3 linked regions of the Macaca mulatta genome follow. The protein of the gene in region 2 interacts with the protein of the main gene of each other region in a pairwise test. Links are inferred from orthologs where the notes say so. Each region holds a gene or a part of one and is shown on either strand. Other genes may lie near its edges. The genes, in order: USP2, VPS52 and PPP1R18.

Region 1 (10,046 bases), on a different chromosome or scaffold from region 2:
AGTCCCCTGCCCAGCTCCTCTTCCTGGCCATCTTCACTGAGGTGTCTGGACCCTTCCTTCTCTGTCAGAGATTCCTGTCATTTTGCACAGTTTCCCTCTCCTGGGAGGTGCAGCAGCACTCCTCTGCACAGAGGCCTGGGCTTCCTGTCAGGACATGTGAGCCAAGCAGCTGTCACCCCAGCCGGCTGGTGCTGGTCACCTCTGAACCAGGCCCCAGGCATGCTGAGTACTTCACATGCAGCTTCTGAGTCCATCTTCTCTGCGGCCTCACATCAGCTCTCATCGGCCCTCGCCATGTAACACATTCTTCTAGGTGTGCTTCATACACAGAGCACCCCAAAAAGTCTTAGTGTGGGTTTAAGCTGGAGTTCTTTCAGACATAAATGTCTCCAACTTACACACCTCTTTGGACAGATTAAATTATTTAAATTAAAATTAAAAAAACATTCACAATTAGAAAATAAATATATAAGACATTTAAATATGGAAACTTTCAAATGAAGTTTTTAGCATTTGTATTTCTGAAGTTATTAAAGCTTAAAACTGCACTAAGGCTTGGGACACAGTGTATTAACTCACTGAACCCTCCCGACTCCTTTAAGCGGTAGGTGCTGTTATAATATCCATTTGCAGATGAGGAAATTGGCGATGCTGGGAGTGATGTGGATTTCCCAAAGTCACACTGGGAGCAGTGGCAGAGCTGGGCTGGACCTGTGCTCTATGCTCTGTCCGCTATAGCTGGCCTGAAGCCCAGACCCCTGCTTCACTCTTCCCTGGCTCTCCATGGGACGAGTCGGGACTGGGACCTGTAGGTGGGGTTTGAGGGAAGGACCGCCACAGGATCCAGGTGTCCGGCCTCCGGCATCTCTACACTTCCAAGACAAGGCAAAGAAATGGGCCTCCAGGCAGTCCTGGATCCTTAAATTCTCTTTTCCAACCACCTCTGCACAAGTACTCTCCTGGCGTCCCCTCCCCACGGGAGAGCCCTGGTCTCCTTCCCTCTCCTGTAGGTACAACATGGGGTGTACAGACTCCGGCAGGAGCAGCCCTCTGGATTTTCCACTGCAGGCGAATGAAAGTGAAGCCAGGTGCAACTCGAGCCCTAGAACAATGCTGATCGGCCGCGAGATGGTCCAGGAAGCCTCCATTTCACCCACTGTGCCAAGCCCCTGTGTGTTCCCTGGCAGCAGCATCTACCCCAGCTCAGAGCCTTGGGTCCCTGGCCTGGTTATGAGCAAGTCCCTAGCCTCCTACCCTGGCTGCAGCTTGGCCCACTCCTCAAGGTACCCATGCTGGGTGAGTCAGGGGTTAAAATGAACCCCGTCCCCCTGGGGCAGCCAACCCCTTTGCTTCAGCCACTGTCACTTCCTGTTGCTCATGTGAAGGGCTCCCTAACCTGCCAAGCCAGGGGAGGAACTTGCTCCCCAGGAATTCCAGGCACTCCTGGCCCTGGGGGCAGGGGATGGGTGATGCCCCACATCACCCATCTGCCCAGATCTGCTTGGCTTTCTGAGGGTGAAAGCCTGCTTTGCTACTGGGGCCTGGATAGAGAACCTCTAGCTGAGTTTCAGAAGCATGCCTAAACAGGGTTAAGTCTTCCCTCCTACTCAGGTGCCCAGAAAAGGTGAGTGGGGAGTCCCAGCCAGTCCCGCCAGGTGGCTGGGAGTCTCCACAGTGGTGACCTCAGAGCCTCCTGAAGCCACTTGCTAACAGCATCAGAATGTGCTGACCTTGAAGGACAAGGCGGGTGAGAGGGGCCCTGTCTCCTTCCATCTGCACTTTGACCCGCCCTCCCAGCTGCTCCGGTCACCTGCTGCACTATCTGGGCACAAGTGTCTGGTCCTAGAGGATGGGATGAGGGAATCCTGGCAGGTGTAGAGGACGTGGGTAGAGTAGGGGATTGTGGGGGCAGGAGCATATTTATGCTCAAACAGTCCTTGAACTCAGCCTACTCCTCTCAGGCCCCAGGGCCTCAGCTGGCCCCCTCCTCTCCAGCCTGTCACTAGGCTCTGTCTATCAGGGGCTAGCACCCACTGATCCACCAGCTTAATCCTCTTGCCTGCCCTGGCAAGGGGTCATCCAAGGGAATTTGGGTCCATTTCTCTTTCTCCTGCTCCCAGTAGTTACCCAAGAGCTGGGGGAGGGGAGGAGGTAAGATAAAGAGATTGGAGATTAAGGCAAGAATCCTGACTGGTGGAGAAGAAGTGGGTGGGCCCAGGGCAGTTTCTATAGGGTGCTCCTTGATTTGGGGTTGTGAGTGGGGTGGGCATCTCTATGCTTCCAAGACAAAGCAAAGAAATGGGCCTCCAGGCAGTATTGGGATCCTTAAATTCTCTTTTCCAACCACCTCTGCCCAGGTACTCTCCTGGTGTCCCTTCCCCAGGGGAGAACTCTGGTCTCCTTCCCTCTCCTCTAGGGCCTTATCTTTCCTCTGTTCTCAGCCTCCGGAGGAGCCTTTGGTCTTGCCCCTGACACCCACCAGGCCCAGTGGAGTGGCCTCTTACATGCTATCCTAGATACACTGATGTCTTTCCTCTAGGTAGAGTCCCAGAGAAGCTCAGATACCAAAGGGGCAGCTACTGACCTGTGTCCAGGGGCACTGGATGGGAGCTGGGGGCTTCTTCTTCCACAGCAGGGCAGGGAATGCAGTGGAAAGTCCAGAAGCTGGAGCCTGACTCCGGGCTGGGTAATCCGGAGCTCAGGTTACTGACTCCGATATATATAGTATCTTATCTGACCTCGCACACTTGCAGAGATGGTGAGCGCAACTCACTTGCATTCCAAGCCCCGGGAGAATTAAAGGGGCAGTGGCATACCCACCCTTGAGGGGCTGCCCTTTCAGGCCAGTGCCAGCCAAGGAGGTCTGTAAGGACTCTTGGAAGGGGGGCATTTTGAAGGGGAACAATGGGGAGATTCAAGAGGAAAGAGGACTGAAAAGAGCACGGAGGGGTGGGGGTGGAACTTGAGACAAAAAGACGGAGAAAGTGGATTTTCCAGAGCAGTCAGTCACAGGATTAGAGAACAGGAAGAAGCCATACTGTTAGCCCCACTCTTAATTTTGAGATAGAGTAAACCTAAAGAAAGAAAGCAGCTTGCTCAAGGGCATATACAGATAGCCAGAAGCAGAAAGGGGACTAGTACTCAGGTTTCAGTCCAACGTTCTTTTCTAATGGACTTCTCGGCCTGGGCTTGGAGGCTAGTTCTTTCCCTTATTGGCTCCAAAATAGTGGATAAGTCACTTAAGTTCTCTGAATCTTAGCTATTTAATCTACAAAACAGGAATAATAATAATAATGGTCTATCTCAGTTGTGAGGATTAAATAAATTAATATTTGTAAATTTCCTGGCCCATAGTAAGAGTTCAGTAAACATGATGATTATATTGAATACTTCCACTTATTATAATTAGTGGTATTATTAGTAATGGCACCTTACCAGGAGAACTTTCCTAGGGAGAAAAGGAAGGTTACTCCTGGGGAAGGGTTCTTTTCTGTCTTTCTTTCTTTTCTTTTCTTTCTTTCTTTTTTTTTTTTTGAGACAGAGTCTCCCTCTGTCTCCCAGGCTGCAGTGTAGTGGCATGATCTCGCCTCACTGCAAGCTCTGCTTCCTGGGTTCACGCCATTCTCCTGCCTCAGCCTCCCGAGTAGCTGGGACTACAAGTGCCTGCTACCATGCCCAGCTAATTTTTTTGTATTTTTAGTAGAGACGGGGTTTCACCATGTTAGCCAGGATGGTCTCGATCTCCTGACCGCGTGATCCGCCCGCCTCGGCCTCCCAAAGTACTGGGATTACAGGCATGAGCCACTGCTCCTGACCAGACGTGTGCCTTTCTAATGCCAGAGAACAGTCCCAAGGTTTTTTGAACTGACCATGTCCCATAACCGGGAAGGGCAAACAAGGCTTGCCATCTTCCTAGATGTCCAGTCCACCAAGCAGAGAAAGGCCAAGCCCATTTGGGCTCCTTCCCCCTTTGCCTAGAAAAATACGGCAAGCACAGCTTCCCCCAGACCACCAGGAGAATGCTTGGCCCCTCTGGGGTGGTTCCACTCTACCTGTGGGAGGGCTCAGGATTCCAGGGCCACAGAGCCGGGCTGGGCAGGGTCACAAGAGGAAGGAACAGGGTTCTTAGCCTCTCTGGCCTTGGTGCACTTGTCTGCTCCCAGGACGTTTTCTCGATGGCTCTCCCCCAGGACTGGGAGTACCCAGCTTGGTGCCTCCACCCTGTCTTAGCACAGGCTACTGACTCAGCCCAGGTCCTGATGATGCACTTCAGAGGACGCCCTCATTCCAGTCCTCATTCTGACTCTAGTCTGACTTGCATCTACAGCATCAAAGGAAGGGGCCTGCCTCGACCTTAGTCCAGTCAGTTCTCCTTTCCTCTGCTTTACCGGGGTCCATCTGGGGGATGTTCTCATGCCCATTCCGGGGGAGGTGAGCAGCCCCTACCACTACCTCCAGCTCAGTCCCATTCTAAAGGCAGCCAGGTCAGGAGGTAGGATGTTCACTCTTCAGGGAAGGGCTGGAATGGGTTGGCTAGGGCTTCCCTTGACTGTTGAGAAGTTGCTCTCTTCGGAACACCGCGTGCATGCTTCTGGTTTGGGATTGGTGAGAATTTCAAAGCTGCCTTTTTCTGGTTAGGGATTGGTGGAAAATCTCCCTTTCCGCTTAATTGTTGCACACCCCATGCCCCCAACCCCCTTTAGCAAACTGACCAGATACAACCCGGGCAGCTTTAAGAGCAGCGAGTGAGCTGCACGCACACATGGGGAGGGGTGTCAGTGTCACTCTTGGGCCACATACCACCGATATACCAGGGCACAGCGAGGAGGACCCGCCGAAGCAGCATTTCCTTAGAATACACTGATCAACACACAGATGGCTTTTCCTGGCACCCTGGGCTGTCAGCAGGCAGCCCTCACACAACTGGCAGACACAGCTGGAGCGTCCCTGCACAGCCGGCTCTCTCCCTATATTTCTAGTGTTCACTCTGCCCAGGCTGTCGTGAACACCTTACTTTCTGAGCCCCAAACCGGCACTGATCCCCGAATCCCCCCTCCCCGATTCCCGACAGGTGGCACGTACCTGCCTCTTCTTGGAGGATGGACGAGTCGAACCGGGCACAAGCATGGAGCTGCGGGTGAGTCCCGGCTGGCGCTGGCGCTGGCGCTGGCGCGGCGCAGTCCGCAGCTGACGCAGAGAGCTCCCCGGCCTCGGCTCCTGCCTGCCTCTCTCCCACCTCCGCCGGGGTCCCAGAAGGGACCTCCCCGGGAAATCGGCGCCACCCAGCGGGCAGCCGCCTCATCGCGCCTGGGCCGGCAGAGCCACACCCCCGCGTCTCGCGTCACTGAGTCGCGTCACGGCTATTGGCTTGTTCCTATTGTGGCGTCATTAGAGCCCGGCCCGGCTGGGGTCTCCCAGGCAACCGATATACACAGAGAACCACGTGGAGGAAAAGCACGCGAGTTTGGAGTGGGTGGAGCAGGAACAGAGGTGGACTGGAATGTCACACGACGGGGCAGCTGGAAGGTATTGGGAAAGAAGAGGGGTCATGGGAGAAGGCTCGGAACTTGAGCCCCGGGGCATATCAACTTCCAGTTTTTAGGGAAGGCTAAACATCCCCCACTCCCCTTCTCACCGGACTGGGGGAGGTCCTGTTCCTCAGCCTCTTCTCTTTTTCTTTACTCTCAAAGACACTCGCCGCTCATTTTACTTCCATGGGACCAGTGATTAGTGATGAGTGCCCGAGTGGGTAAATGGAGGCACTGAGTCAATGGAAGGAATTCTCTTTGGTCTTTTCAAGAAAAAGCCGAGACAACACTTGAATTTTTGCTGATCCCGTTACTTTTGTGTAACCTTCTCCCCACTCCCCGGATGTTGATGAGGAAAACTGCACAACCAGGTAGCTGGGTACCAAGGCAAATCCAGGTTTTCAACTTCAGCTGCTCCATCAACCCTTGCAGGTGCCCTTAACGCCTCCCATCTTCACCATAGACCTCTCTCTCCATTGCTACTCTCCTCAAGTCCTTCCTTCTCTTCTATTTCCCAGAGAAATCAGACGCAATCAGGAGGAGAATACTTAAATTTCTACCTGCAAACATGTCTGAATCCATTCTTACCAGGAGCAGTGAAAGAGGCACCCCTGTTCTTGTCCAAGACGATTCCCTTCTCGATTTCAACTCTTTTTTTTTTTTTTTTTTGAGACGGAATGTCGCTCTTGTTGCCCAGGCTGGAGTGCAATGGCGTAATTTCAGCTCACTGCAACCTCCTCCTCCTGGGTTCAAGCAGTTCTCCTGCCTCAGCCTCCCGAGTAGCTGGGATTACAGGCACCCACCACCATGCCTGGCTAATTTTTGTATTTTTAGTAGAGACAGGGTTTCACCGTGTTGGTCAGGCTGGTCTCGAACTCCTGACCTCAGGTGATCCACCAGCCTCAGACCCCCAAAGTGCTAAGATTACAGGCGTGAGCCAGTGGGCCTGGCCCCAGCTAATTTTTTGTATTTAGTAGAGATGGGGTTTCACCATGTTATATTTCCTTAGGGCCCTCATTCCATCACTTCATTTTACAGATGGATATTGGACATGCCAGTCACTTGTCTAGAAACTGGAGATATAGCAGGGAACAAAACAGGCACAATCCCTGCCCTCAGGGAGCTTACATTCTAGTAGAAGCAGGACAATAAATAAGTAGAATATGTAATATGTTAGATGGTGCTAAGAGCTATGGGGGCACATCAAGCAAGGAGGAAGTGTGTTCAGAGAAGGTAACATTCAAGTGACCTGAGGGAGGCTAGGCGTGAACCACATGTAAATGTAGGGAAAGAATCTTCTAGGCAGAGGGAAGAGTAAAAACAAAGGTCCTGAGGTGGGAGCAACCTGCCACTTTCGAGGAAGAACAAAGTCAATGTGGCTGGAGTGAAGAGACAGAAAGATAGGGAAAGAGTGGGAGATGTGATCAGAGAGGTAAGGGAAGGACCAAACCTGCATGTCCCCAAGGTCTTTCTGAGGACTTTGGCTTTTATGGAGCTATTGAAAGGTTTTGAAATAGGGGTGTCCAATCTTTTGGCTTCCCTGGGTTATGGTGGAAGAAGAATTATTGTCTTGGGCCACATATAAAATACACTTAACATTAAAGATAGCTGATGAGCTTTAAAAAAATCACTAAAGGCCGGGCGCGGTGGCTCACGCCTGTAATCCCAGCACTTTGGGAGGCCGAGGCGGGCGGATCACGAGGTCAGGAGATTGAGACCATCCTGGCTAACACGGTGAAACCCCGTCTCTACTAAAAATGCAAAAAATTAGCCGGGCGAGGCGGCGGGCGCCTGTAGTCCCAGCTACTCGGAAGGCTGAGGCAGGAGAATGGCGTGAACCCGGGAGGCGGAGCTTGCAGTGAGCCGAGATCGTGCCACTGCACTCCAGCCCGGGCGACAGAGCGAGACTCCGTCTCAAAAAAAAAAAAAAAAAAAAAAAAACCACTAAAAAACCTCATAGTTTTTTTCTTTTTTTTTAAGAGACAGAGTCTTGCTCTGTCGCCCAGGCTGGAGTACAGTGCCCCAATCTTGGTCCACTGCAAGTTCTGCCTCCCGGGTTCACGCCATTCTCCTGCCTCAGCCTCCCAGGTAGCTGGGACTATAGGCGTCTGCCACCACACCCAGCTAATTTTTTGTATTTTTAGTAGAGACGGGGTTTTACTGTGTTAGCCAGGATGGTCTCGATCTCCTAACCTCATGGTCCACCCACCTCGGCCTCCCAAAGTGCTAGGATTACAGGCGTGAGCCACTGGGCCGGGCAAAACCTCATAATGTTTTAAGAAAGTTTATGAATTTGTGTTGGGCCACATATGGCCCGCAGACTGCGGGTTGGACAAGCTTGTTTTGAGCAGAGGAGGGACAGGGTTCCTACCTTTCGCTACTGTGTAGAGAACAGATCTGAAGACAGCAGAAGCGTGAGACCATTGCTGAAGAGAGCAGAAGCAGGAGACCATTTAGGAGGTCATTGTGAGCCTCTGGTTAGTGTGGTAGCAGAAGAGGTGATTCAAAGTGGTGGATTTTAGAAGTATTTTGAATGTGGACTAACAGGATTTTCTGATGGATTAGGCAGTGTGGGGAGGAGGGAGGAATTTTTCACCTGAACTTTAACTGAGAAGGGGAAGGCTGTGGTAAGAGAATCTCTGGAACCTGGGAGGCAGCGGTTTCGGTGAGCCGAGATGGTGCCACTATACTCCAGCCTGGGTGACAGAGCGAGACACAGCCTCAAAAAAACAAAAAACAAAAAACGTATGTCTCCTAGGCATCCAAATGGAGATGTCAAGAAAGCAGCTCATGTGCAAGTTTGGTGTGGTCTGGGCTGGCGATAAAAGATTGAGAGTCATCAGCATATGGAAGTTATTTAAAGCCAGGAGATGAGAAGAATTACCAAGGGAGCAAGTGTAGATAGAAAAGACGTGCAAGGACTAAATTCTGGAGCTCTCCAATATGAGCTTGAGATCAGTTGGAACCATCAGAGAGACGGAGGCATAGGTCAGTGTAGTGAGGAAAAAAACCCCAAGAGATGGTGGTATGCTGAAGGCCAAGAGAAGGAAACTTACTGAGGAGGAGGGAAAGGTCAATTGTGTTAAATGTGGCCCATAAAGTAAGTAAGATGAGTTTGAGAATTGAATGATTGATTGATTTTTTTTTTTGTTTTATGTCTTGTCCCTCCCTTGCCCCCCCACTGGAAAGTATATAGAGCAAAGATAATTGATTGAAGGTCATTGGTGATTTTGACAAGAACAGTTTTGGTGGAGTGGTGGGGGTAAAAGTCTGATCGCTGATAAGTTTAAGAAAGAATGGGAGGAGAGGGATGGAAACAACTCTTTGGAGGCAACTCTTTGGAGGAGTTGTGTTGTAAAGGAAGGAGAGAAATTGGCTGGGAGCTAAAAGGAGAAGTGAGGTCAAGAAAACTTCTTAAGTGGGAAAAAATAGTTATATGTTATATGCTGATGGGGAGGAGCCAGTAGAGAGTGAAAATTGACAATGCAGTGGGGAGTGAGGAGAACGTCTGGAGAAATGTCCCTGATGAGGGGAGAAGGGATTGGACAGAGTCCAGAAGCAGAGGGGCTGGCTTTGGTTAGAGGACTGATGGCTCATGCAAAGTAAAAAGAGAGAAGGCATGATATTTGGGTAAAGTAAAAAGAGAGAAGGCATGATATTTGGGCATAGATGTGGGAAGGCGGATTGATGTGGGAGAAGCTGGTGGATATTATCTCTTCGAGGCCTTTTTTTTTTTTTTCCTCTTTGTGAATTAGGAAGCAGGGTCAGCTGACTGTGAGGATGAAGGGAAAGGCTTAGAAGTTTGAACCTGGAGGAGGAGTTCTAAAAAAGTCACTGAGAGCAGTGATTCTCAAACTTTAGTGTGTACCAAAACCACCTAGAGAGCCTATTAAAGCCCTCCCACAGTCTGGGCAACATAGAACGACCCTATCTCTTCAAAAAATAAAAAAATTAGCCAGGTGTGGTGGTGTGCGCCTATGGTCCAGCTACTCAGGAGGCTGAGATGGGAGGATTGCTTGAGCCTGGGAGGTCAAGGCTTCAATGAGCTGTGATTGTGCCACTGCACTCCAGCCTGAGCTACAGAGTGAGATGCTATCTCAAAAGAAAAAAAAAAAGGCCCTCCCTTCCCCCAGACATTCTGATTCAGTAGGTCTAGGATGGGCCCGGGAATCTGCATTTCTAACAAGTGCCAGGTGATGCTGCAGTCGCCCGTACGGGGATGACCCTTTGAGAACTGCTGTGTGAGAGAGTGGGGCAGTGACTGGACTCGAATTCCCACAAATGCAGTGTGGTTGTCAGGCAGCATCAGGGGCCCAGCTGAGGTTAGAAATCATGACTTGAAAGTGTCTCCAATCACATCCCACTCACAATTGCTTGCACGTGTTTGGAGTCCTATCTCTTTAAAACTTCCATTTTCTACTGACTTTTCCTTTGCCGTGTAAAAGGCTCCACACCCTTCCTCTTTAAAAAATGAAAATCTTTAACTTAGGTTCTAGCTCTCCCCTCTTCACAATTTTC
Region 2 (10,277 bases):
TGCTCTGTCACCCAGGCTGGAGTGCAGTGGCACAGTCTTGGCTCACTGCAACCTCCTCCTCCTAGGTTCAAGCAATTCTCCTGCCTCGGCCTCCTGATTAGCTAGGATTACAGGCTGCGCACGCCCGACTAATTTTGTATTTTTAGTGGAGATGGGGTTTCACCATGTTGGTCAGGCTGGTCTCGAACTCACAGATCCTCCCGCCTCAGCCTCCCAAAATGCTGGGATTACAGGTGTGAGCCACTGTGCCCAGCTTTTCTTTTTTTTGTTTTAAGAGATAGGTCTCACTCTGGAGTGCATGGCTCACTGCAGCCTTGACCTCCTGGGCTCAAGCAATCCTTCCACCTCAGCATCTCAAGTAGCTACGACCACAGGCATACATCAACACACAGCTGGCTAATTTTTTATTTTTCATAGACAGGCCAGGCTGGTCTCAAACTCCTGAGCTCAGGCAATCCTACTGCCTCAGACTCCCAAAATGCTGGGATTATGGGCGTGCGCTACCATGCCCAGCCAAGGCTTAGACATTTTAGAATGAGGATCCTGATTGATTTCAGTTCTACCAGAGTCATGACCCCACTATGCTGCTGATGAAGACTGGGGACAAAGGTGTTGAATAGTACAGGAAATAGGAATCTTACCAGGGTCATGCTGAGTGTACGGCCCATGACAGCATGGAACAGGTCATGTGCAGCCGGGCCAGACACAACAAAAAATTCACAGATGAAAAGGTATTCGCGGCAGGAATTGTCTAGGAGGGCGTAGTGCTGGCTGCGGAAGAGGGCCTCAAATGGATACTGGGAGAGGAGAAGTAAAGAAGAAACACAGAAGGGATGGACCCCAACACTGACTTCCCATGGATATGGCTGCAAAATCAGTAAACCTGGGTAATAAGAGCTGGGCAGACCCTTGGCATCCATCTAGGTCCAGGCTGTCAAAGAGCAAGCTGAATGGGCACTGAAAAGGTGGGGGAACATAGGGGTACAAAAAGGGCCTACACCCACCTGCTGTTGCTACTCCTGCATCCACCTCAACACCTGCCTCTGACCGTCATTCCCCTCATCCAGTCTCTCCCCTCTGCATGCCCTTAAGTCAATGGTTCCCAGCTCTTTTCACATCACAGCAGGCTGGAGTGATTGGAGAAGGCCACTCCCAAGTCTAAGGGGATCGAGACAGGGCCTGCAGGTTGGGAAGCTCTGCCCTGAGGTCTGGCCTTCCCTCCCTCCATGCTCAGAGTCTCTTTCATGACTGAAGCTTGTTCCTCCTCATACCCTCTGCTCTCCACGCTGGGCTGTGTGAGGCACCAGGATGGGGGCCTCAAGTTCAGTGGGGGAGATGACAGAGCCACGGGTTCCTAGGGTGAAAATGGTGTTCCTGCTGCGGAGTGATGGCTTTGAGAAGAATCGTAAGATGGGTCAGAGTCAGGGAAAACAATGAGACCATAACTGGGCCCAAAGACTCACTATCTGCAGGGACCCCAGACAGCGAGACATGGCCTAGTCAGCCCTCTTTCCCAGTACTAGGGCCCCACGTGATGACATCTGTGAACGGACTTCAGGGTGTCTCCCCACCTCCTGCAATCATATGCAAAACTATGTGTCAAAATGACGCATCTTTCTTAGGAGGGAGGCTATAGCTTTCATCACATTCTAAAAGGTTTCAGTCCCATAGGAAAAGGTAAGGAACAGTGCCTTGGTGGCTGCAGCCGAAAGTCCTCCCACTCTCAAGACCTGGCATGAGGGTTCCCCAGGACTAGGATATCTTTCTTCGCTGTATCTTCCACGCCCATTAGATCATCTTTCTCAGCAACTTCCTCATACTAAGAAAACAGAAAAGAGAACTGATAACCGTCTCTTCCGACAACACAATAAAATATTCCTTGCCCAGGGATGTCCCCTCCTCCCAGTCCACGTGCCCAGGAATGCCTCTCCCTCCTGACCTTACCTGCACCTTCATGAGCCGCCCCAGGTAAGAGCGGTAGTAAGACAGGTAGATCTTGCTCAGCGTCTCCACGTATTCATCCCTGATTTCCTTTGCTGTTGCTCGTTCATTGCCCAGCAGAAACTGATAGAAGAACCTAGGAGGTCAGGAACATGTCAGTCTACCTGTCTCCCAGGAAACCAGATGCCATTAGGCTGCTCAAAAGCTCAAAGGCCATCCCATGCACTTCCTTGGGGTTGTGACCTGTACTTCAGCAGGGCCGTCTGGGGGATCTGATAGTTGGTCATTGGTTTCCTGAAGGAATAAATCTTCTGGAGGATAAACTCTCGGATCTTCATCACTGCCTAGATGTGGGGAACCAAGCACAGAGCATGAAGCTGCAACCTTTTTGCTGTATGAGAGGAATTGGGGGAAGCAACAAATGGTAAACATAGATTGAAAAGTGGTGCATATCTCTTTGGTATTTCTCAAGATTTTCAAGGAAACCCAGAGAGGCAAGAATGGGGCTGCCCAGAAAAGGCAGGGTGAAGTTCTTGGAGACAGGCTACAGTGAGCTCTGCCAAGAAAATCCATAGTGAAGATCTTGGGAGGGCTGCTTCTAGTAGCCTCCAGGGTATCCATCCCTACTTCCCACCTTGACCCGGAGCCGATCGAGCACGCCTCTGACATCCGCGCAGGCTGCTGTGCCTCTAGCTTCCTGCTCTCTGACTGCAGCTGCCTTGGCATCCAGCTCCTGTAGCTGCTCCAAGAACCTGGGCTCTGTCACTGGAGCCTCCAGAATTGCCCTGGGTAGCAGGAAGGGGTGGGATAAGTTACAAGGGAAACCCAGACATCCCTAAACCAGACCCAGACCACACTCCTTACCTCCAGCTCCTATCATCTCTACCACCTTGCACTGTACCATATAGTCAGGACACATGTACAAAGTTTTCTATTCCTGGACCTTCCCACTATACACCTGATCTTACATCATTCTTTTTTTTTTTTTTTTTTTTTTTGAGACGGAGTCTCGCTCTGTCACCCAGGCTGGAGTGCAGTGGCCGGATCTCAGCTCACTGCAAGCTCCGCCTCCCGGGTTCACGCCATTCTCCTGCCTCAGCCTCCCGAGTAGCTGGGACTACAGGCGCCTGCCACCTCGCCCGGCTAAGTTTTTTTTTTGTATTTTTAGTAGAGACAGGGTTTCACCGTGTTAGCCAGGATGGTCTCGATCTCCTGACCTCGTGATCCACCCGTCTCGGCCTCCCAAAGTGCTGGGATTACAGGCTTGAGCCACTGCGCCCAGCCGATCTTACATCATTCTTAATCTTAATCTTTGATGCCTAATGCATGCCTAAAAAAATGGTGGTTAACCTGGCTACTAATTTCTAAAAAGCACTTAATCTGGAGCCAGTAGACCCATATGGTAAATAAGGTAGGTCACCCCAGCCCATTCACCTGCCACGGACATCATGACCCTTCAAACCGGTAACTCACGTGACCAGAGCAGAAGGCACGACCAGACCATCAACAAGCTCCCCAAGTTTCCCCCGAACTGCCTGGCGATTTCGAAGTCGAATGTTCATGGCTCCTGACTGTTCCTGCAGTGTCCGGATCTCAGAGCTGATGGAGCTGAGGTCACTCTGAAAAGCTCCCAACATCTGCTCCATTCGCTGTAGGGAAGGTAGAAGATGTTGCTGGAGTGCTATAGGGTTTGTAGGGGATAAGTGGGCCACCAAAGCCTCTCTGTGAAGTCCTCAGTATTCATCAGTCCATGAGGGTGGCAGAGGATGAGATACCCCAGATTACCAGGAAATAACATTAAATATGGCAGCAATAACAAAAAAGGCTCCTGAAGTCATCTTGAAAATGACCCTAACTTGTCCCCATCTTAAGGCTGATGACCTAAAAATGGCACCAGAGTCCATGATCTGGTTCAGAGCAGCTATTAGGGGTCACAGTTCAGGATTACTAACCTCCAGGACAGCATCACAGGCTGTGATCTGGTTGTGCAGAGATGCTATATTCTCACTCTCTTGAATATCTGACCCACAAAAAGTCAAGGGGCCTCATGGTGAAAATGGGAGAGCCTCAGATTTGTAGTACCTCTCCAATTGCTCTCTGAAGTGACAGAAACCTCACAGATGTTGACCCCAGCTGAGACATCTGTACCACACACCACAAAATCCCCATATCAATAGCACCGCCCCTTCCCTCTGCTGGAGGATACAATCCCGAATGGATTTCTGTTCAATCTGCTGTAGCTCCAGTTCAACTTGTTTTGAATAGTGACGAAGATCTACACCCTGGGAGGACATAAAGATGACAGGTCAGAAAAAAGTCTCAGTAAAGGGACACTGTAACAGAATCAGTGAAGGACTAAAGGATCAGATACCAGGCTGATATAACAAAAGCAAAAAACTGTTGTTTTTCCTTTTGGGGGACAGTAGATAGAAGGGCAGATTAGTATAGGGGAAATCCTCACCGTTTTAAGAGCTTCCTTTACTAACTCATCCTCCAGATTTGCCTGAATGTGAACTGGAAATAGAAGTTTATCGTAAGGGTTCAGCTCCACAGCTCCCTCTCCCCACATTGAGTATCTGCACACCAATCCCTACCTTATTCCTTCCAGCTCCCATGCCTCTCAGATTACAGGTACTGCACCCACTCCACGCCATCACTTACCATCCACTTCATCCAGGATGAACTCATCAGAAGTGATATCCAACTCCCCAAGTTGCAGTGATTCCTGGAGCCCAGCACCACCCGCCTGAAAAGGAATAAGTTAATGGGAGTAGGATACAGTGAAAGACAGAAAGAAAAAATGTAATTGGATATCCCCAGTCCTTCAAGTGAGAAGGAGGTGCTTTTGCTGGAAGCCACAGGTACCGCTTTGAAAAACTGTAAGTCTCACATTGTACCCACTCTCCTATTTTGTGTTGATAGGTAAGGAATACGACAAGGAGTGAGACGATCCAATGAGACAGTGGAGGTAGCCCAGCATGGTGGCGGGCTCCTTGTAGTCCCAACTACTTAGAAGCTGAGACTGGAAGACTGTCTGAGGAGATCAGGAGTTCAAGGTCAACCTGGGTAACACAGGGAGAACCGTCTCAAGAAAAAAAAAAAAAAAGTAAAAGACAAGACAGTGGAGATGACCTAATGAGGAAAGCTAGGAATTGCAGAGGATGGAGCTGAACTTGCACTTAAATTTAGGACCCTCAGGCTCCTGCCATCTTGGATGTTCTATCACACCTCTGGGGAACCCCAGGCTTTCTATAAATGTCAAAATACATAGTGTTTACCTGCGTGCGAGATGCAATCTTAAACATACTCATTCATCTAATCCTAACAACGATGTATACAGTAGGTTCTATCTTCCTCATCTTATAGGTCTGAGAAATGATGGCACAGAAAAGCGGGTTAACTTGCCCAAGGGAACACAGCGTGTAAGTGGCAGAGATGGAATTAGAACCCAGGCAGTCTGGCTCCAGAGTCCATGTTCTTAACCTTTACACTATATTACTTCTTGACTCTACCCCAAAATGTGGAGCGAAGTTGAAATTGTGCCCCAGAATATGAGTTTCAGCCACGAGGGTCCCGCTCAGGGTCGGGTCTGATCACAGGGAAGGGTACGGGGAGTCAAACAGGTAATATCACAGGTAGCAGCCAAGTTCCCACCCTTGTGCCTAAACCCAGCTCAGGTCTTTCTGAAGCTAGGAGCACCGGGACTACGGAGGAGAAACAGTTCCGCGCTCTCACCAGCGGGCCCTCTTCCTCCTCCATGTCTGACGTCCCTGCCCGCAACACCAGTTCCCGGGCGGCAGCCGCCATGGTCGCAGCGGCGGCCATTCCCCGCAGCCTCACTTCCGGCAACTGTCAGGCCGGCGAGTCTGTTCCCCGGAGTGGAGCTACAAGTCCCAAAGGGTCTTCCTCAGCGCGAAATCGTTCCCAGATATTTGAGTTAAATTGTTTGACTCCAGCTGTTCCCTTTCAGTTCTAACCACTTCACCCAACTCTAAACGGAAATGTGGAAGTCTGAAGCACAAACTAGCCCGGAACCTTCGCTTCTCTTAAACCTATGAACTTTACGAACTGTAAAGAAAGGCGCACCGGAAGTTGTGGTACCCGAGCCATACTCTCTTAAGTCCAGCTAGGTCAGGCTGAAACAGTTTCCGGAAGCACTTCTCCTAGATCGCTCCGCCTCTTCCTCCTGAACGCTATATAATGATACCGCGTCACTTCCGCTCTCTCTTCCACAGGAGGCCTACACGCCGCCGCTTGTGCTGCCGCCATGGTAAGCCTGGAATCCGTGCCGTGATCCAGCGACATCGCAACTCGGGCAAGGAAAGCCGGCTGTTGGGGTTCTGGAAACGCCCTGTCCTGAGGGCCTGAGACTTTCCGTATGAAGCCTTGGATCGCGCCCCTGGAAAGGGACACCAAAGATTTCCAGTTCCGGAGAGCGGGCCCGAGGAAGGGTCACTGCTCTGGCGCACGGAAGCTGCCTAAGGCTTGGGCGTATATGGGGAACTCTGGCTTCCGCCACGCACTTTTGGGAATGGGCAGGAGACCTGCCTCCTCTCTCCAAAGGTTGCATTTTCCCAAGCTTGAACGCTTCATGTACCTACTCTGCAGGACTGAGGAGTTTGCTGTGTGGTGTGAAAACCTTAGGGGTGGGGATCGGGTGCCTTTGCCACTTGTGTGACAGGCTTAACCGTTTTGTATGAAGTTCGTTTGCCTTTTCAACCTTACTGTTTGATAGTTTACTGTGTCTAATTTCTCCCCCGTACTTTTTAAACCAGTCTCTAGTGATCCCTGAAAAGTTCCAGCATATTTTGCGAGTACTCAACACCAATATCGATGGGCGGCGGAAAATAGCCTTTGCCATCACTGCCATTAAGGTAAGTAAAGTAGGGTAAGGAATAGGGAATGTAAATGAGAATTGGGTTGTGAAGACATGAGCAAAAATGAAGCAAGGTTGGGGAGACTTGAGTCTCATCCAGAGCACCTTGACTGCTGGATTAAGAAAAGAAAGTGGTTTAGGGAGAGACTAACCCCTTTAGCACTTACCACATTTACCACAGAAAATAAGTGATTAAAGCCAAGAGAGTGGTCTAAGGTCAAGCCAAAACATTTCACCCGGGGGAGTGGGAAGGAGGTATGGTTGCTCACCCGAATTCGCTAAGATTTTCCTGAACCGTGAGATCCTTCTAGATTCGGTTTCTTTACCCACCCTGCCATTATAACAGCAACCCTTCCTGTGAAATTTATATTCCCTCAGAATTGGAGGATTATTGGGCATCTTGAGGGATGAGTAAAAATGCCAACAGATAAAAAGTGTGAAGAAACTTGTAGATGGAGGGTGGAAGAAGTATGAGCAGGACATTTACTCATATGTCAGAGTTGACACTCCTGTTAAAGTGTGAAGGAGTACATCTCTCTCTTCGGCTTTTAAGAATCGAATCAGTGAATGCAAGAATAATTATTTCACTTGGGTATTTCTCTCCACAAACCTAATAAACTCCTGGCTTTCTAGATACACACGTTCTTTTTTTTTTTTTTTCTTAAGTCAGAATTTGTAGTTAGTTGTGGAAATAGCCTACCAGTATGTGTCCACTTCATGGGTGCAGGGCTAGGCCTGTCTTACAGTTCTTGGCTTCTGTTGCATGGTAGATACTTAGGCGACGTTAGCTAATGGATAGTAGTAGGGATACTGTTGGCTGGTTTAAGGAATGTGTAGAGGAAAATTCCTTCTGTTGGGTGCTCTGTGAAACTAATAAGGCAGTGTGAAATACTGTACTTAGATACTTGCTGTGAGGCTTAAGTAGAGGTGCACCATTCAGAAGTGTAATAGAGAATAACTTTCATGGATGAAAGTTATTCTAACTAAAATTAGAAATCTCATTTTATCTATCTGTCTTCCCACTCTCATTTTGAAGTAAATATTCATTTGTAAACATATAATTAAATTTGAGGCTGAGTGCAGTGGCTCACTTTCAGAGGCTGAAGTGGGTGGATCCCCTGAGGTCAGGAATTCAAGACCAGCCTGGCCAACACGGTGAAACCTCGTCATTTAATAAATAAATAAATATATATATTTGAAAGACCCTGCTCTCTTCTGAATAAACCTAATAATTTGACCCTTGGTCACGTTTATTTATTTATTCTGAAACAGAGTCTTGCCCCATCACCCAGGCTGGAGTGCAGTGGCGTGATCTCATCTCACTGCAACTCCAGCCTCCCAAGTAGCTGAGATTACAGGCACACGCCCAGCTAATTTTTGTATTTTTAGAAGGGGGGGGTTTCACCATGTTGGTCAGGCTGGTCTTAAACTTCTGACCTCAGGTGATCCACCCACCTTAGCCTCCCAAAGTGCTGGGGTTACAGGCTTGAGCCACTGCGCCCAGCCACATTTATTTTTTGAAAGGCTGGAGTGGCGGAATCACCATTCACTGCAGCCTTGACCTCCAGGGCTCAAGTCAATCCTTCTGCCTCAACTTCCCAAGTAGTTGGGGCTATAAGTGTGCACCACCACCACGTCTGGCTAATCTGGATCTTGCTGTGTTGTCCAAGCTGGTCTGGAACTCCTGGGCTCAGTGATCGTCCACCCTCAGCCTCCCAGAGTGCTGGAATTACAGGCATGAGCCACTGTGAAGCCAACCCTTGATCTCTCACTCTCGCAGAGAGGAACTGCCATTTGTTTTAGTTTCCTGGGGCCTACTATAATAAGTTCATATAAACTAAGAAAATTACTTACGGTGCTGGAGGCACTTAATAACCTTGCCTCTTCCTATCTACTGGTGGTTGTCAGTAATCCTTAGTGTTCCTTGGCTTGTAACTGCATTACTCCAATCTGTTGCTGTCATTTCATGGTCCTCTTCATGTCTCTCTTATGATTTGTCATTGGATCTAGAGCCCACCCTAATCAAAGATAACTTCATTTTACCTAATTATTTCTGTGAAGACCTTATTTCCAAATAGGGCCACATTCTGAGGTTCTAGTTGGACAAAATGAGGGGCAGGGCTTACTATTCAGTTCATCCTTCACTCTCCAAATCACTTTGGTTCATGAATTTAGATAGCATGGGTGCTAGTGCTGGTGTTGATATGATGCTACCAATGTAAGCATTAGGCTTTTTTTATAATCACTTGGGCGGTCAGTTCTGGGCACTGACAAAATTCAGTTTGTGATCTTGGAATACTTTGATTATAGGGATACAGTGATTTGCCTTAGAGATTCTGAGGAACTGACAGCCCAAATACCTTAATCAAATCCTGTAACTCATAAGACTCTGGTTTACTGCATTAGCTTGGAGAGGCAGGCCCCTTGTTCTCCTAAATGCAAGAATCAGAAGGCACTTAGTGACAAATACATATGCTGAGCAATGAGGAGAAAAAAAAAAGATACTGCCTGCTTTCAAAGGGTTGTCTATAACACTAAATTCTGTGTTCATGATTCAGTTGTGCCCCTGAACAAAGTAACCTTTTTTTTTTTTTTTTTTTTTTTGAGACGGGGTCTCTCTCTCTCGCCCAGGTTTGAGTGTGGTGGTGTGATCTCGCCTTGCTGTGACCTCCGCCTCCCAGGTTCAAGCAATTCTGCCAAAGCCTCCCAAGTAGCTGGGATTACAGGCACCCACCACCATGCTCGGCTAATTTTTTTGTATTTTTAGTAGGGTTTCACCATGTTGGCCAGGCTGGTTTCAAACTCCTGCCCTCAAAGTCATCCACCCACCTGGGCCTCCCAAAGTGCTAGGATTACAGGCGTGAGCCACTGCGTGCGGCCCAAAGTTAACCTTCTATCAAATGGTTTATATCTGGAAAGGTGGGTGACGAAAGGGTGACCTAGGGAATTGCAAAATAGATTATTGCAGATCCTACCTTTGTGAGCTTTTTGAATAATGAGGCTATAAAGGAATTTAAAAATCAGATTGAACCCTAATTCCGAAAACCCTCACTTCATTCAGGGTGTGGGCCGAAGATATGCTCATGTGGTGTTGAGGAAAGCAGACATTGACCTCACCAAGAGGGCGGGAGAACTCACTGAGGATGAGGTGAGGACAAGGAAGGGGGCTGGGGGTGGGGTCAGCCTCAGAAAGGGGGTCATGTAGATCTGACCTTGTCCTGCCTGCCAGGTGGAACGTGTGATCACCATTATGCAGAATCCACGCCAGTACAAGATCCCAGACTGGTTCTTGAACAGACAGAAGGATGTAAAGGATGGAAAATATAGCCAGGTGTGTACTGAAATGAGGGCAGGATTAGAGGAAGGGTGGAGGGTCCTGATAGAATTGGGCATAGGTAGGTGGTCAGGGGATAAAACATCCCTTGCCGCCGCCTCTCAATCCAGGTCCTAGCCAATGGTC
Region 3 (9,985 bases), about 3.3 Mb from region 2:
AGGATTACAGTTTTGGAGAGGTGGGAGAGTGAGGACTGAGGGAGCCGAAAAGGGCGATAACCAGAGTATTCTAAGTAAAATGTTTTGTAGAGAGGGCTGTTGAGAGTGTTAAAAAGAAGGAGCATTTGGAGAACCGAAATAAGAGGGGCAATCCAGCGGTGGCCTCTCCAGCCATGCTTTTTGCAACTGCCTAACATGCGTTGTTCTATAAATCCTCTCCCCTAGGTTTGCAGGAGGCCTAGGGAAGAGGGCAGAAACTAGGAATGGAAAAGTGAGATGGGCACAGCCTAGAGAGGAAGCATTAAGGCTCTTGAAAGCAGTAGGGACATGGCCTGGGGCTCCAAAAGGAGATGAGGATGGGGGAAACATTTGCCACCTTTTCGATCTTTTGTCTCTTTCTCCCTCAACTTCCTGTAGATGCCCGCCAGGGATGGCTGGCTGCCCTGCAGGACCGCAGCATCCTTGCCCCCCTGGCATGGGATCTGGGACTCCTACTTCTATTTGTTGGGCAGCACAGCCTCATGGCAGCTGAAAGAGTGAAGGCATGGACATCCCGGTACTTTGGGGTCCTTCAGAGGTCACTGTATGTGGCCTGCACTGCCCTGGCCTTGCAGGTATGAGGCCCTGGCCTTGCAGGTATGAAGTCCCTAAGGGAGACCAAGTGTGGGAGGGGTGCCCTGGATTGGAGGGGCAAAATATGGGTTCAGGAGGAGAACTGAGGAACTAATCTCAGCTTCCATTCCTCCACAGCACATACCCTAGTTTTTATCAAGAAGGGTGTACTTGTCCTTCCCCAAGCACAATACGTGCATTCTCACCTTTGCAACTTTGTTCATGTCCTGCTTGAGATCCCTTCCTTCTCTTCAGTCCTACCCTTTCTTCAAAACCACTTCCCTAGGTCTGAAGAGGCCTTGTCTGTCTTCTCATTGGGTGGTTGGCATAGGCTACTACTTTGTGTAGCTATCAGGTCACCCCATCTGTTCTGTAAATTCTCAGGGTGGAGACAGGCCATCCTTACATCTTTGGGACCTCACCCAGCATGCACCCTCCACATGGTGAATATTTGGTGGTGATGCTTAGGTGAGAGGTGGGGGAGAGTTGCAGGCTAGCCTGTGGTGGGGGCAGCTCTGGATCCGGGTCTCCCAAGGTCGGGCAGGGTAGGGCACTGGGATACGAAGCCCCTTATCCTTCCACAGCTGGTGATGCGGTACTGGGAGCCCGTACCCCGAGGCCCCGTGTTGTGGGAAGCTCAGGCTGAGCCATGGGCCACCTGGGTGCCCCTCCTGTGCTTTGTGCTCCATGTCATCTCCTGGCTTCTCATCTTCAGCATCCTTCTCGTCTTTGACTATGCTGAGCTCATGGGCCTCAAACAGGTGAGGCTCTGAGATCCCTACCTACGACCTCTGACCCGTTTTAGAACTACTCTTTCCCTTTCAAGGGTTTCCCTCCTCCCATGCTCTTCTACTGTCTCCTTGATTCTCCCTCATGACCCTTCCCTCAGAAGGACAGCAACCATGGGCCTCCTGGGCCTGGGGAAGGTACATGGATCATAAGTCAGGATCAGGGATCCAAGTCTCAGAAGAGGGGTTCCTGGGCCTGAGTTCTAGAAGGCTGGTGCCTGGAAGAGGAGGAAAGAAGCGCCCAAGCTGAGAAAAGGGCTTGACTCAATTTCTAAACTCTTCTCCCTCTTAGGTATACTACCATGTGCTGGGGCTGGGCGAGCCTCTGGCCCTGAAGTCTCCCCGGGCTCTCAGACTTTTCTCTCACCTGCGCCACCCAGTGTGTGTGGAGCTGCTGACAGTGCTGTGGGTGGTGCCTACCCTGGGCATGGACCGTCTCCTCCTTGCTCTCCTCCTTACCCTCTACCTGGGCCTGGCTCATGGGCTTGATCAGCAAGACCTCCGCTACCTCCGGGCCCAACTACAAAGAAAACTCCACCTGCTCTCTCGGCCCCAGGATGGGGAGGCAGAGTGAGGAGCTCACTCTGGTTACAAGCGCTGTTCTTCCTCTCCCCCTGAATTCTAAATCCTTAACATCCAGGCCATGGCTGCTTCACGCCAGAGGCCCAAATTCATGGACTGAAGGAGCTACCCCTTCCACTACTTGAGAGTTTATTCTCTGGGTCCAGCTCCACACCCTAAATTCTGAGTTTCAGCCACTGAACTCCAAGGTCCACTTCTCACTAGCAAGGAAGAGCGGGGTATGGAACTCATCTGTCCCCTCACTGTTTAGGGCATGACACTTTCGCCCTCAACAGCCTCCTGAGAAGGAAAGGATCTGCCCTGACCATTCCCCTGGCACTGTTACTTGCCTCTGTGCCTCAGGGGTCCCCTTCTCCACCTCCGGCTTCCACTCCAAGAAGCTGGACCAGGGTCTGCAAGTTCAATGGTCATAGCTGTCCCTCTAGGCCCCACACCTTGCCTCACCACTCCTGGTCCTAGTCTCTGCACCTCCTTAGGCCCTGCCTCTGTGCTTAGACCCCAACCTAGTCAAGGGTATTCTCCTGCTCTTAACTCGATGACTTGGGGCTCCCTGCTCTCCTGAGGAAGATGCTCTGCAGGAAAATAAAAGTCAGCCTGATTTTTCTACATATGGCATGCAGTCTGTCAGTGTCTCCCAAGCTGCAGGGCTGAGTTTGGAAAAGAAAGCCAGAGGGAGCCTGGGAGCGCCGAACTGGAGTCTGGGCAGCCACCACGCCCTCTGGCAACCGCTGGGCTTCGGCCACCCCCCGCCGACCCGGCCCACTTTGCCAGAGCGGCCGGGTCTCCATTCCCATTCCTTCAAATTCCCTTTTTCCTGGCAGCCGACCCGGAGACCCAAGGGAGACAGGTTGAAGCTAGAAAGAGTCCGGCAGCAGCTCTGGTAGGGGGGCGAGCTTCCAAAACCTCTGGTTTCTGAGCGCCTCTCCTGCCGCCCACTCCACAAGGCCCCCCACAGCCTGGCGGTTGCCCTCGACCCGCAAAAACAAAGGCCTGCAGAGGTTGGACCTCCAGACCCAGATGAGAAGGCAAAAGCGTAGGGAGGAGCTGCAGGAGATGGGAAGGGCGGGCCCGGCCCCGAGCAGCTGCCGCTTCCTCCCAAAGTCCCACGAGGGGCCTGAGTCACGGGCCACCGCCCTGGGTCGGCGAGCTGGGGGAAGGGATCTGGACACCTGGGGTGTCCGGGCGGGAAGCTGGTGAGGGCCCCTGGGGACACAGCGGAGGGCCAGGGATTGGGACAAGAACAGGGTAGTCCCGGAGCGAGTCCCACGCGGGGTGGGAGGGAGCTAGGCCCCGCCCCCTCCTCGGCTCCGCCCTGCGCCCCCATCCCTCTCCTCATTGTCCTTAGACAAAGCGGTCGCCGCCCCCGCCCGGCCCCCTGGTCTCTGTCTCCGTCCCACCTCCTTTGCTGCCTCTTTCCCTCCTCCTCTCCTTCCCTCCTCTCCTTCCCTCCTCTCCTTCCCTCCTCCCCTCCCTCTAGTCTCCGGATCTCCCTCGGTCCCTCTCTCCTCCTCTTCCTCTCTCCGGACGCCCGGCTCCTCGGCACCCCCTCCCGCGGGGGTCCTGCGGCGTGTGAGTTGACTGAGGGGCTCAGACTTGGGGAGTGGGTGTCTCCTCGCTCCGGTCCTTGCTCCCATCCCTGGCCCGGATCTTGGCTGTCTCCTCTTTGTGCCGAGATTGTCAGTCTGTGCGTCCAGAGCGGGGTGGAGACTGCCGGCTCTGTCACGGCTCCATGAGAGCGGGGACGGGGCACAGGACTTGCAGGCGCCGGGGAGAAGAGACATGGAGCCGGCCCTCGGCACTCTGGGGTCGCGTGGCGCAGCCGGTGGGGGAGGCAGGCGGTGGTGACGGGACAGGGTGGGGGTGGACGCCAGGGTTCTGGGAACGCGCTGGCAGCCCTGACGCCCGGGTTCCGAAAGTCCCGGGGGTGGGTATTTCCCCCGACCCGCCTCGGGGGCGGAGTGCGGGGCAGAGGGGTGGGGGCTGGGGAGAGGCGTGGCCCGAGCGGTGCTGGAAGGGGAGCCGGGACCTTTGGGGCCCGCGCTGAGACGCGCCGGGTTGCTGCCGCCGCGCTCCTTTCCCCTCTTCCTTGGTTTCCCTTCTCCCCTAGACCTCTTCGCTTTCCGCTCCTCCTTGCCTCCCCAACACCCCCTCAGGTCCCGTTGCCTCCTGGTCCTTCCAGGGATTCCTGGTCCTTCCTTCCCACACTAGTCTCCCTGGGGTATCGCTGAGGCAGTCTGGCCTGCACCCAGATTCCCCTCACCCCAGCCTCATTTCTCTCTTCTCCCTCACACCAACTTTCCTTTTCGCCCTTCTCTCTCTGTCTCACATCCTAGAGACTGTCTTTAATACGCATTAACCCTGACTGCCACATCTGGCTCCTGCCCTCATTGCCTCCAATCTGGACTCTTCCTCTCACATCACCCCCACCACCCCCAACTTGGGCTCACAACTTCTCTTCACTTTTTCCATTTCCCCAGTTCTCTGCCTTCCCTCTTTCCCTCTGTCCTCATCCTTAGCCCCCCTGCCCTGCTTTGTGTCCCACCTCTCCCCCTCCACTTCCTCTCCTCCCACCCTCAGTCTCCCCCCTGGGCCTCTCTGGAGCCTCTCCTTCCTGTTCTCTGCCCCCAGTGCTCCCTACCCTCACCTCAAGGCGACCATGGCCACCATCCCAGACTGGAAGCTACAGCTGCTAGCCAGGCGCCGGCAGGAGGAGGCGTCCGTTCGAGGCCGGGAGAAAGCAGAACGGGAACGCCTGTCCCAGATGCCAGCCTGGAAGCGAGGGCTCCTGGAGCGCCGCCGGGCCAAGCTTGGGCTGTCCCCTGGGGAGCCTAGCCCTGTGCCGGGGACTGCAGAGGCTGGCCCTCCAGACCCAGATGAGTCTTCGGTCCTTCTGGAGGCTATTGGGCCAGTGCACCAGAACCGATTCATCCGGCAGGAGCGGCAGCAGCAGCAGCAGCAGCAACAAAGGAGTGAAGAGCTGCTAGCAGAGAGAAAGCCTGTGCCTCTGGAGGCCCGGGAGCGGAGACCCAGCCCTGGGGAGATGCGGGATCAGAGCCCCAAGGGAAGAGAGTCAAGAGAAGAGAGACTAAGTCCCAGGGAGACCAGAGAGAGGAGACTGGGGATAGGGGGAGCCCAAGAGTCCAGCCTGAGGCCTCTGGAGGCTCGGGACTGGAGGCAAAGCCCAGGAGAGGTGGGAGACAGGAGCTCCCGACTGTCAGAGCCATGGAAATGGAGGCTGAGTCCTGGAGAAACTCCAGAGCGGAGTCTGAGACTAGCAGAGTCTCGAGAGCAAAGCCCCAGGAGAAAAGAGGTGGAAAGTAGACTGAGCCCAGGGGAATCTGCCTACCAGAAGTTGGGCCTGACAGAGGCCCATAAATGGAGACCTGACTCCAGAGAGTCTCAGGAACAGAGTTTGGTACAACTGGAGGCAACAGAGTGGAGGCTGAGGTCAGGAGAAGAAAGACAAGGCTACTCGGAAAAATGTGGCAGAAAAGAAGAGTGGCCAGTTCCAGGGGTGGCTCCGGAAGAGACTACAGAGCTGTCCGAGACCCTGACAAGGGAGGCCCAAGGCAGCAGTTCCACAGGAATGGAGGCAGCAGAGCAGAGGCCTGTGGAAGATGGCGAGAGGGGCATGAAGCCAGCAGAAGGGTGGAAATGGACCCTGAACTCCGGGAAGGCTCGAGAATGGACACCCAGGGACATAGAGGCTCAAACTCAGAAACCAGAACCTTCAGAGTCAGCAGAGAAGCGTCTGGAATCTCCTAGTGTGGAGGCTGGAGAAGGGGAGGCTGAGAAGGAGGAGGCGGGAGCTCAGGGCAGGCCTCTGAGAGCCCTGCAAAACTGCTGCTCTGTGCCCTCCCCCCTCCCACCAGAGGACGCTGGGACTGGAGGCCTGAGACAGCAGGAAGAGGAAGCAGTGGAACTCCAGCCCCCACCACCAGCCCCTCTGTCTCCCCCACCCCCAGCCCCAACTGCCCCCCAACCTCCTGGGGATCCCCTCATGAGCCGCCTGTTCTATGGGGTGAAGGCAGGGCCAGGGGTGGGGGCCCCCCGCCGCAGTGGACACACCTTCACCGTCAACCCCCGGCGGTCTGTGCCCCCTACGACCCCAGCCACCCCAACCTCTCCAGCCACAGCTGATGCTGCAGTCCCAGGAGCTGGGAAGAAGCGGTACCCAACTGCCGAGGAGATCTTGGTTCTGGGGGGCTACCTCCGTCTCAGCCGCAGCTGCCTTGCCAAGGGGTCCCCCGAAAGACACCACAAACAGGTAGGGAAGCAGCCAAGCCAGACTTCTTAGAAGCCCACTTGTCAATTCTCTTTGGACTCTGGTCTTTATTTCTTTTTTATACCCCTGTTTTCTTGTCTTCCTCTCTTCTTTCTTGTTAATTCCTGCCACCACCCTTCCTCGCTCTGCACATACACCCTTCCTTCTCAGAGCCCTCCTGTTCCATTTTGAGCCCAAAAGATCCTGCCCCAGCAAAGGCCGTCTCTGGGTGTGTCTCTTTCAGGGTGTGCCCGGCTGCTCATTCTCCCTTCCCTTGGGCTCTGAATTTTCAGCCCCCTTTTCTTTCCTTCCTTTCCTGAGTGTGACCCGCCCCAGCCCATCCAGTGGGAAAGCCCAAACTGACAAGCTTGAATCAGTGAGGGCAGCGTCACGAGGGTGAAAGCACTTGCAGTTTTTCTGCGGAGAAGGGATAGGGAGCCTGGGGTGGCGGAGGGGGTGCGTTTGTGTTCTAGGGAGAAACTGTAGGGAGAAGTGAATGGAGGAAGGTCCAACTGCCCCATGGGAAAGAGGGCAGAGCTGAATAGGGACATCTTAGGATGGAGGGGAGAGGGGAGATGGAACTGGGCCGGCCAAAGAGCAGAGAGAAGGCTTTTGAACCCTGAGTCTGCCCCATGGGAGAGACACAGAGAGGCCATTTGAAGTGGGTGACCTCGGGGTTGCACACCCCCAGCTGGGCCACTGCTTCAGACAGTGCTCCCTTCTCTCTTGGGACAAGAAAAGCCTTCTCCTCTTCCAAAATACTCCCGCCCCTCACTCCCCCGTCCTTCCTCCCTGGGTTTCCCCTCCCTCCCAAGAACTGGCTTAGGGTTCGGTTTTCCCCTCTCTTCCTGCCATCCTGGACTCTCCCTCCCCTTAGGGTAGTGAAAGAGAGAAGTGAATTTGGAGACAGTTTTGAGAGCAGGCACTGGCCAGGGAGCACAGTGGGAGTTCTGGATAGGGGTCAGGGCTGAGGCCAGCAGAGGGTCAGAGGTTAGACTTGCAACAAAGACCTGCAGGAAAGTGGGGGCAGCTAGGCTAACTCCCCCTGGCCCTGGCCTCATTTCTTCCCTGTGCACGCCCACCTGTTTCCAGCTTGAAAATCTCTGGCGAGAGAGAGGTCCCACCTCAGACATCTCAGACTTAGGAAGTCCCTCCAGTCACACACATCTCCCCAGAGCCTGGGATGCCCAGTCTCATTCTCATCCCCTGTGTTAACATCCTCAGATTTGATTTTTTTGTGTCCTCAGTGTCAGTGGGGAACCACAGGGACTAAAGATATGGGTTAAGCCTGGGGTGGAGGGGGGTTCATTTGATTGCCCAATTCATCTTCACATGAAGCGTAAGTTCACACCCCTGAGCCATGGTGCTTGGGAACCTACCCTCAGCCCTCTGACTGCTACCATCCTGTTCCCCTCAGGGCTGGGCAGATGAAAAAAACAGAAGTCCGGAAATGCTACCCGGGTGAGGTGTTCAGAAAAGTCACTTCCTACTGAGAGAGGCTTGTGCCTCTGGGGAAGAATGAGCAGAGGGAAGCATGAAGCTTTGGGGCCCAAAGCCCAGGGAGCATCCCAGGGGAGCCAGGAAGCAAGTGCAGGGCAGGACCCATGCTGGTGACCATACCTAGGCCAGAGAGCAGGGGAGCCGGAAGCAGATCGCCCAAACAGGAAGCCTGGGGTGGGGGCCGGAAGGCTGGTGGGGCTGAGTGGGGAACCCTGGGCTCTGGGCCTGCCAGAGCTGTGCTCAGGATGTGGTGAGAGAATAAGGAAGCAGCCACTGCTTGGGTGGGGGTGGGGAAGAGGCAGCACAGAGTTCTTCTGACCCAGATGCCTCACCCTCCACCCTCTCCCCACTCTCAGCACCCTGCTCTTCAGGGACTGGGTGCCTTGTCCCAGCTCTGCTGCAACACACTGGCTCAGGAATAGGAGATAGGAGGACCCTGCCACCAACCCCCGCTTCACCTTCCCTAAATAACTCGTTTGCAGGCTAAGTCCATCAAACTTATCCCTGCCATCAGGAGAGAAATCCCAGCCCTGCCACTGGAGCCCAGGGGATGGCTGTGGCTGGTGCCCTACCCCAGAGGCCTCCTGGGCTGAGAGACCAGCCCTATTGTGACCTTATATAGCTGATGGGAGAGGAGCAAGTGAGTCACCCTCTCTCTACCCGCCCCCCCACTCCCATGCAGGCTGTGCATTCCTGAGAAGTCCAGTCAGAAGCTGGTGGGGGGTGAGGAGAGAGGCAGGGTAGGGGGGAGATACAAACATAGACCGAGAGCAAATAAAATAAGTCCTTTTTCAGAATAGATAATAAAGTACAGAGGTTATTATTCCAAAAGAGGATATGAGAAGAAAACAAAAATGGGTTCCCAGAAATGTGGGTAAATCTGTCAGTAACAGAAACTAAGTGGTCGCTTCTGAGAACTTGGGATATAAGCAGTCTGGCTGCTATAACTAGATTGTACCAGCAGTTCCACAGACATGAACTGGGGGGTCAAATATGTATAGGCTGGACCACCCCCAGATTGTTTCCCCAGCATTGGTCCTCTGATGGCACCTCATCTGAGGTTTGAACAAACTCTAAACTCTTGCACTGTAGCAACTTTCAAGCTCCTTTTTTCTTTTCTTTTTTTTTTTTTTTTTTCTGAGACAGTCTTGCTGTCTCCCAGCCTGGAGTTCAATGGTGAGATTTCGGCCCACTACAACCTCCACCTTCTGGCTTCAAGTGATTCTCCATCCTCAGCCTCCTGAACATCTGGAACTACAGGCGCACACCACCAAGCCCAGCTAATTTTAGTATTTTTAGTAGAGACGGGGTTTCACCATGTTGGCCAGGCTGGTCTCAAACTCCTGACCTCAAGTAATCCCCCTGTCTTGGCCTCCCAAAGTGCTGGGATTACAGGTGTGAGCCACTGCGCCCGGCCCCAAGCTCCTTTCAACAGCAGACACGAGTATAATAAATTAGTAAATTATCTAGGAAGTTAGAAGGTGGTAAGTGACTATGAAAAAAAAAATAGAACAGTGGAACTTAGAGGGTCAGGAAGCAGGGGGAGTGAATATGGAGACTTCAAAATGGGGTGATCAGGAGGGTCAGAGCCATGGGGATATTTCAGGGGAGTGTTCTAGGCAGAAGGAATAGCTAGTACTTTTCTGGTCCTGAGGTGGGAGTGCGTGGAGGGACCAACGCCAGTGTGGCTGGAGTGAAGGAAGAGGCCAGAGAGGCAAGGGGAGGGTGGCACATTGGGAGCACCCTGTAGGCTTTGGTCAGGCTCTGGGCACCTTTGGGGCAATCAAGTAGACTTTTTTTTTTGAGGTGGAGTCTCACTCTGTTGCCCAAGCTGTAGTGCACTGGCGTGATCTCGGCTCACTGCAACCTCCGCCTCCCGGGTTCAAGTGATTCTCCTGCCTTGTCCTCCCGAGTAGCTGGGACTACAGGCGTACGCCACCATGCCCAGCTAATTTTTTTGTATTTTTAGTAGAGACGGGTTTCACCATGTTGACCAGGATGGTCTCAATCTCTTGACCTTGTGATCCGCCCGCCTCGGCCTCCCAAAATGCTGGGATTATAGGCATGAACCACCGCGCCCAGCCTCGAGTAGACTTTTTGCTCCAAGTGAGATGGGGAGACAATGTGGGGTTTGGAGCCAACAAGGAGTAACATACACAGTTCCCGAGTTCCATTTTCCCATGGGGACCCAGGTGTCATATCTGATTTTTTTTTTTTCTTTTTTAGAGACAGTGTCACT

The links.
Region 1: the proteins of VPS52 (region 2) and USP2 interact in binary tests that used the Homo sapiens proteins (3 or more experiments, as listed by UniProt). The two-hybrid records come from large-scale screens. The link is inferred for Macaca mulatta from reciprocal best matches to the Homo sapiens genes VPS52 and USP2.
Region 3: the proteins of VPS52 (region 2) and PPP1R18 interact in binary tests that used the Homo sapiens proteins (3 or more experiments, as listed by UniProt). The two-hybrid records come from large-scale screens. The link is inferred for Macaca mulatta from reciprocal best matches to the Homo sapiens genes VPS52 and PPP1R18.

Annotation. Positions count from the first base shown.
Region 1 is NC_133419.1:120,067,220-120,077,265, forward strand, and holds the start of USP2 (ubiquitin carboxyl-terminal hydrolase 2), read right to left. Parts: upstream 5,155-10,046; 5' UTR 5,083-5,154; exon of another isoform or gene 5,072-5,082; intron 4,195-5,071; exon of another isoform or gene 4,053-4,194; intron 2,701-4,052; exon of another isoform or gene 2,585-2,700; intron 1-2,584. UniProt on the Homo sapiens protein: Hydrolase that deubiquitinates polyubiquitinated target proteins such as MDM2, MDM4 and CCND1. Isoform 1 and isoform 4 possess both ubiquitin-specific peptidase and isopeptidase activities.
Region 2 is NC_133409.1:149,013,434-149,023,710, reverse strand, and holds the start of VPS52 (vacuolar protein sorting-associated protein 52 homolog), read right to left. Parts: upstream 5,990-10,277; 5' UTR 5,767-5,989; coding exon 5,677-5,766; exon of another isoform or gene 5,220-5,676; intron 4,688-5,219; coding exon 4,603-4,687; intron 4,456-4,602; coding exon 4,403-4,455; intron 4,224-4,402; coding exon 4,148-4,223; intron 3,967-4,147; exon of another isoform or gene 3,962-3,966; coding exon 3,894-3,961; intron 3,623-3,893; exon of another isoform or gene 3,591-3,622; coding exon 3,415-3,590; intron 2,727-3,414; coding exon 2,576-2,726; intron 2,286-2,575; coding exon 2,185-2,285; intron 2,078-2,184; coding exon 1,945-2,077; intron 1,820-1,944; coding exon 1,762-1,819; coding exon of another isoform or gene 1,754-1,761; intron 1,406-1,753; coding exon 1,272-1,405; intron 798-1,271; coding exon 642-797; intron 1-641. Other genes in the region: RPS18 (small ribosomal subunit protein uS13), read left to right, coding at 6,209-6,211, 6,717-6,815, 9,879-9,965, 10,047-10,148, 10,262-10,277. UniProt on the Homo sapiens protein: Acts as a component of the GARP complex that is involved in retrograde transport from early and late endosomes to the trans-Golgi network (TGN).
Region 3 is NC_133409.1:152,356,130-152,366,114, forward strand, and holds the start of PPP1R18 (phostensin), read left to right. Parts: upstream 1-4,638; coding exon 4,639-6,249; intron 6,250-8,892; coding exon of another isoform or gene 8,893-8,922; intron 8,923-9,985. Other genes in the region: NRM (nurim), read left to right, coding at 418-614, 1,179-1,373, 1,693-1,974.